Linked DNA regions of Schizosaccharomyces pombe. The gene in region 2 interacts genetically with the main gene of each other region. Each region holds a gene or a part of one and is shown on either strand. Other genes may lie near its edges.

Region 1 (3,758 bases), on a different chromosome or scaffold from region 2:
AAAAATGATATTCATCACCCCAGTTTCTGAATTCAGGTTTGAAGTTCGATCAAATGAGGATTAATGTTTGAAAACCGAGCATTTTGCAATCTACTTTAAATTACCTTCAGAAAGCGACTAAACAATCTTGTGCGTTGAAAGTTAGCTTAAAAAAGTTACAATTAAAATTTAACTTAATTACTTTTTAAATTTATGATGTCCTAAACAAATCAATATTGCTAAAATAACCAAATTCCATAAACAAGAATTAAATAAGTGCAGAATTAAAAATGAGAGACCAATAAGAAGAGTTAAGGGGATAATCTTTAGTACAAGTTGACCTATATACATGATATTGGGGAAGTGAAGTAGAGCAATGAATTTTGAATAATCATAAAAAGTAGTCGGCAATGGGTCGTTTTGTTGGAATGCCAGATCTTTCTTGAGAGGCAGTACCAAAAATCTTAAAGGATTGCGTTTGGTTTTCATCAAGTTGTAATATAGAAGCAACATTTCCACATCTGTAACAGTAATTGGGTGCACTCCAAACAGTAACCACGCTTCCTTTATCCTTTTCTGGAATGGTTATTATGTCTCCAGGTGCCGGAGAATCATCAACAGGTGAGGCAGAATCTGAATCCAGCTCAGAGTCCTCTTCATTTGTAAATTTGGGATACTGTTTATCTTTATCGGAAAAATGGATTTTGTAACCCTCCATAACCAATTGATGAGCACGAGCAATGAATGAAAGGTCATTAGCGCGATTAAAAACTTCAGAAACGTCGGCACCAAACAAAAATCCAGCACCTCTGGGAGATAAACCCCATCCACTAATATCTTCTGGATCTGACCAAAGTAGATCACACATTGCTCCTTCATGCGGAACTTCTTGTTTTCGATCCAACAGTCGAATCTTCATAAAAAGCGTTAAAAGTTTAGTTCAAATTTTCGGAATTAATAACATACCTGATCGATACTGCTGATGCTTGGTGAAAGTCCACCGTGCACACAAAAAACCTTTCCATCCACCAAAGCACCAAGCGAAAGATAATCAAATATTTCACAACAATATCGCCATACATTGGCAGAACCATATTTCCTTACACATTCGTCATAAAATCCATAAACTTGTGTTATTTGTCGTGATTCATGATTTCCCCGGATAAGGGTCATCTCTTTCGGATATTTACATTTTAAAGTCAATAACAGGAGAAATGTTTCTACAGAGTAAAACCCTCTATCAACAAAATCCCCTAGAAATAAATATTTTGTACCTGGACATGACCCACCAATTCGAAAAAGCTCCAGTAAATCATGCAATTGGCCATGGATATCACCACAAATGGTTACAGGAGATGAGATCCATTGTATGTTAGATTCCTCAATTAAAATATCTCTTACACGCTGACAAAGTTCAACAACTACCACAAAACGTTAGACCCCATTCTTATAATTATGGCAAAGAACAACCAATATGAATGATCGTTGTTATATCGACGGAGATAAAAGTTATTCTATAAATACTATTATACATACCATTTGATTCTGGAATTAACCTTCCGTTCTCCAGTTCCTCAAGTTGCCAATCCAAATCTAAATCAGTCATTTTGAACTCGTCAAAACATAAAGTAAAGAAAACTAGAATAACTTGGTCCTTTAGAATAAGAAAATAAACAAGTGAAATTCTTTTTCAACTTTATGTATCATTTAAGAAATTTAATTTTAAATAAGTCAAAATACCTCTGTCAAGAGGTATGACGCGTAGAGCTTTGGTGACTAAAATTCGGTTTTCCTTTTGATAATGACTTTTAAAATAATTAACATGACCTCCTTAATTAGCAGCTTCCGAATTTTATTGACACATACGTTGCGTTACGCTAGATTGTTTTTCAGAAAAATACGGTTGCTCCACCATTATTAGTGCTTTCATCTCGAAATGAAATGGACACAAGTTTTTGTATTAGATTGTTTTTTTTTAATCATTTATACTTAAAATTAATGATGAACTAGAATCTTTTAATTAAGTTGCATGCTACTCCAGTATGATTATTATAGCATGCCGTATTATCATTGATCTTGAGTTTTTATAACGCTAATACAAGAACGTGCACCTACTCATATATATATCTAGATTATAAGAAAAACTCCTATAGTTCTAACGGATCTAAATTGTTCGCACAAATGCGCAGCTTTGATGTTATAGGGTTTTTGTGAAATAAACTACATAACACTATAGCTTCTTGGTAAAAATCAGATAACACTCACAATTATAGGTAAAATAATCTGTATGCTGAAGGCGTACCCCTGTGGCGGAATATACACTCAATATAGAAAAACTGTATAGTCAATTCGTGTTGCAAACCCATAATTTATGTGAAGCTTTAACATAATTTGCATACTATTCTTTACTTATGTTCAGTCGGCAACTCAAGATGTTCAAATAACTAAAAAGATTTTAGAAATATATTCTTTCTATCTTTCAATATGGTTTACTGCAATTTGCGTACTATCAAAAGAATGAGGTGTGTAAGAAATGCTTGCCCTGAGCAGTACAATGCAATTTTTTAATACTTTAACTATATCAATCAATGTGTATGCTGTTGTTTTTATCAAGTATGAAACATATCTCATCTTGGTTGTTTTGGTCGCTTGTTATAAACTCATTTGGCTAGTAAAGCGACTGTTAATTTTATGTACAACATACAAAAATAAAATGTTAACAGAATTGTTTGGGTATTACGTAGAATCGGAGTATAAGCGCAACACACTAGTTTTTTTTGCCGAAAAAATTATTTTCCAGACGTTTTAATACCGAGGGATAAAGTTATCTGATCAGTCACGATGGTAATTAAAAAAATGAGATCGAGAATGCCGTTTAATGAATAGACAATGAAAAAAGTGAAGAAGAATCATCAAAACGTACATCAAAAGTGGTTTAACTAAAAAATTTCGAGTAATTTACTTGGATATGTTTTTTGCTGCAATTATATCATTTGCGTCGCCTATTGTGCAAGGAAGAGATTTTACTAGATACGTTTTCTACACTGCTCAGCCGAACCTGCCGACAACCAACTAGGAAAAAATAGGGCGTTGATTGTTGATTAAAAAGAATAAACTAGGTTTTTGAAAAAAAAAGTAGGAAAAGAAATAATTCCTCAAGCTGTGCTATTTTGATTGGAAATGAGCGTCGAAATTACTTTTGTTGAACAATTTCAAGAGATATTGCAAAATGGAAAAGAGCAAATAATTTTACTCAATTTTTATGCACCATGGGCTGCTCCATGCAAGCAAATGAACCAAGTCTTTGATCAATTTGCAAAGGACACGAAAAATGCCGTTTTCTTAAAAATTGAAGCTGAAAAATTTTCCGATATAGCAGAGTCGTTTGATGTAAACGCTGTTCCTCTATTTGTTTTAATCCACGGAGCAAAAGTTTTGGCTAGAATTTCGGGGGCAAATCCTCAAAAATTGAAGGCTGCTATTGACGAGTATATTCAACCCCTTATCTCCCAAATATCCTCTACCAACGCGTCCGTGGAAACTCAAGTAAATTCCGTTCAGACTACCAACACTACTTCCAATACCTCTAAAGCTCCAAATGGGTTGGATTCTGAACTAAATGAAAGGTTGAGCACGCTAACAAATGCTCACAATGTTATGCTCTTTTTAAAGGGTACTCCTTCAGAACCTGCATGTGGTTTTAGTCGTAAGCTCGTTGGATTACTTCGTGAGCAAAACGTTCAGTATGGATTTTTTAACATATTGGCTGATGATTCTGT
Region 2 (3,758 bases):
TTGCATGAGTAGAAACGTGTCAATAGTCATGGGTATTCCATAACGGTTCATAATCCTTTCCAAAAGAAATATGCGGTTGTCGAGAAAGAAGTTTGACTCCCCTTTAACCATACAAGAGCATATCATAAATTTTAAAAAAAGTAGTTTTAGTGAAAATGAATCGATGGTTTTTAGATCGACTAAAGATTTATACATTAGTGAAAGATACAACATCCGCTCACTAACCAAATTTTTAGAGTGTTTAGAAGCCATACTCAACTTTGTTGGAGACAAAGCTATAGTACTGAAAAGCGTATTGATATCCTTTGTAGTCAGTTGCAAAGAAGAATCTTTTCGAAGTCGCTCAAAAATTGAAAGAGTAAAATCCAAAGAAAAATTATTAGGATTTTGGAGATGCATTTTCTTATATTTTTCCAAAGTACTCGTCAGATTTTGTGAATTGACGTTTAACAAGATATCCTGGGTATCGCAATAAAGGGATGCGGCACTTTTTAAAGAAAAGTTACAAGTATGGAAACTTCTCCGAAATACGTTCGAGTGGTTATTAATAAAATTTGGAGGTAAAGAATTATCAGGTGTAGATTTACTAGTGAGTGAGACCCTAGATTGTTTGCCATGTTCGAGATCAGAATACAAAGTTTCATCCTTAACATGTTCAATATTGTCCAGTTTATAGTATTCCCTAAAATTTTTTGTAATTACATGAATGCTTATGCCGAAGTTTTCGATACTGAGACATGTCCAATTATTTTCAGACGTGTTTAATTGTCGGTTTGACAAATTGGAACGTTTCCTCATTCTCCGTTCTAAAATTTTTCTCCGAGATGCACTAGTAAGGCCATCTACGTTCACCGGTCCAACGTTTTTTTGTTTTAAAAGGCGAAGTAAGCCATTAGTAGCGGATACAACTTCAGATCCACAGTTGCAAGAAGCTAGTAAAATAAGATCTGAATCACACCAAAAAGAATCGGCGGGTGAGTTAACAAAACTGAGATCAGTGGCATAATACTTCTTTTTAAGAAGGTTTAACACATCAGCTAAAAAGTTTGGAGCACCTTTTGGAATAGGTGGCAGCGCAACCGCATCGAAATGCGCTTTTTTAGGAAATAGATTATGTTTTTCATCCACATACCATGGTTTTTTGCTTGAGACTTCCTCTGGTTGCGAATTAGCGTCATTACTTGAATTATCAGGAACTAAATTTTCAGGAAACTTTTGAGAAGCGAAAGGTCGTTTGTCAAATTTGCTTCGAAAAAAGGAAACACATAGTTTGTTGAAACGTAGATAATTAAAGCGATATGTGGGCATTTTTTAATAAAATATGAAATCTCAGCACAGTCATTAAAAATATAAGAATTAATATAATTGAAGTGTTACCTTATAAAGCCGAAAAAAGAATTTCTCAATGCTGTTCTATCACAGTATAACATGAAGACATTGTCTTCTGTTTGAATAGTAATAGATAAAACTTAGATTAAAGCAACAAAAATATTTAGTATGTTTTAAAACAAGACCGCAAATTATTAGGAGAAAACCAAATATTTAATGACCTTGGCACGTTTTCCTAACCAAGAGACCGATTCTAAATAGTGTTCCACTGTAGAAATACGTAATCACCAATATCCGAAATGTACGAACGTTTCTTATGTCAGCAATACTACATTACGCTATGATACACTACGTTGCGTATCACTATATGTCACATGTTCTAATTATATATCGTACCATTTATGATACGATATGGAAATTAATCTTAATGATAATCTATTAAGATCTATATTATCTGAATACTATAAATAGAGCTACTGCTGAACTCGTTCCTCAGTTCAGTTATGAGCTATATTAGTGATAGGTAACATTATAACCCAGTTAATACAATACCTATACTCAGTTGCTACTTATACAACCTGTGTATTGTAATATAATAGATCACAAGGAAAACTCACCGCAGTTCTACGTATCCTTAAATCAGATACCAAACTGCGTAGCTTACATCTTAATTGCATTTTCCCGTTTCGGTCTATTGCCTTAAACTTGTTTACGCTTTATATATACCGACGTTTCTTTGTTTTTAGATGAATGAATTTAATGATAAATACTTCCCTTTCTTAGCTTTGCAATGTTTTGATGCTTTTCGAGATGACACCTGAAACCTTTAAAAAAGTTAACTCCTCTAATCGAATTATTAAAGGGCTTCAATACACACCATTAGCATCATCAATCCCATTGGAAAATGGTATGCATACAGTTTGAACGCGTCTATTAATTTACATAGGTTTACAAAACGTATTATATCCATCTTCTAAATTTCAAAATGAGCCATTGCAACTTAACTCCGAAGAATCAAGTATTATGCAAAGATATGTGGATATGCTAAATCCTGGCGCAACATTCGTTAACGATTCTGAAACCTTTAATTTTTATAAAAATGCTCTTAGCGCTATGATAACGGAACCTGCAATGCCCGCAATGTAAGTTAAATTTTTTGAGGTTTTTTATCTGACAAATATAAAGGAGGGTGAATGCCAGTCCGGTCCTAGACCAAAAGGTGTGTAACAGTGACTCGTTAAGTGAATTAAATGATTTTACAAAATCTCTGATTCAGCCAAGTATGTTGATGTGTGAACCCAAGGAGAAACCTGATGCTTCTTCTATAAATACAAACCGTTCATCTTCCGACAATGGCTTCTTAACTCCGTCTTCAAGTCCTCGAAGTCCATCATGTTCTCGCGTATTTAACGCTGTTCAATTATGTAGCCCTAAAAAATCTAAAGATGATATTACTACCCCAAAAAAGCGACTTATGGAAGACACTTATTCGCCTCGTGAATCTCCCTCAAAGATCCAGCGGTTGCAGGACGTTTTGTTAAAGCAGTTGCAAGATACCAGATTACTAATTTCTCAAGTTATAGAAGCTGAGAATTCGGAAGATTTTTCATCGAATTCTCTCTTTATTAAACGAGAAGACGATGATGGAAAACACATTTCATCGCACGCAATTGAAAAGCTATATATGGCATTAACCAAGCTTAGTCGTTTGGGAGCTTGTGACAAATTGCTGGAAGAAGGGAGTATAATACTTGTAAAACAAATCCTTGAGAAAGAGTTAAAAGAGCTTCCTGTCGCTTGTTACAGTATAATTAATCTTCATGACAGCCTCACACAATTTCCGAATTTAGACTTTATTTTAAAGACCACTGCTCTTGTTCTTTTTATAATATTTCTGGTCCCCTCCTTTAAAAAGCTTCAAAATGAAGAATCAATTCTTCATTTACTTAATATCTTACATTCCATATTTGAGTACACAGTTCCTGAAGCGATTGATAACATCGTTCAATCAAAAACTTCCGATGCTAGGACTTCTGAAATTCAACATCTATCAGTTTTGTTACAAAAAGTCGCAAATGTATTAAACATCTTATCTAAAGTTGCCCATGAAATTCCCTTGTCGGAAGCTGTGGTCATACGCATTGTATATTTATTTCCCAAAGTCTCTACACTCGACAATTCCTTCAAAACTAAACTTCCTAACTGTAACAGCTCATCCTTCGATTTTCTTAAAGCTCCTTTATTTCAAACGTTACAATATTTATTTCGTCTTTATCCTTATCAGCGAGATTTTATCATTGAAGAATCACTTACAAATTTTTCTCACTTGCCCACTGCTCGTTCGGTCTCAAGGACCTATAGACTCTCTAACGGTAAATCCATACAATACTATTCAACCCTATTTGTACGTTTAATTCAGTCATGCTCCA

What was found. A genetic interaction does not mean that the proteins touch.
Region 1: mutations in mis4 (region 2) and pph3 impair growth when combined (synthetic growth defect), as found in Schizosaccharomyces pombe (one study listed by BioGRID).

Annotation. Positions count from the first base shown.
Region 1 is NC_003423.3:3,954,345-3,958,102, forward strand, and holds pph3 (serine/threonine protein phosphatase), read right to left. Parts: upstream 1,743-3,758; 5' UTR 1,586-1,742; coding exon 1,516-1,585; exon of another isoform or gene 1,401-1,515; coding exon 946-1,400; exon of another isoform or gene 912-945; intron 893-911; coding exon 371-892; 3' UTR 208-370; downstream 1-207. Other genes in the region: CIA machinery monothiol glutaredoxin Grx4, read left to right, coding at 3,160-3,758.
Region 2 is NC_003424.3:395,259-399,016, reverse strand, and holds the start of mis4 (adherin Mis4), read left to right. Parts: upstream 1-2,077; 5' UTR 2,078-2,127; coding exon 2,128-2,236; exon of another isoform or gene 2,237-2,275; coding exon 2,276-2,471; intron 2,472-2,514; coding exon 2,515-3,758. Other genes in the region: ATP synthase complex assembly protein atp25, read right to left, coding at 1-1,308. UniProt on the Schizosaccharomyces pombe protein: Plays a structural role in chromatin. Chromatid cohesion molecule required for equal sister chromatid separation in anaphase. May form a stable link between chromatids in S phase that is split rather than removed in anaphase.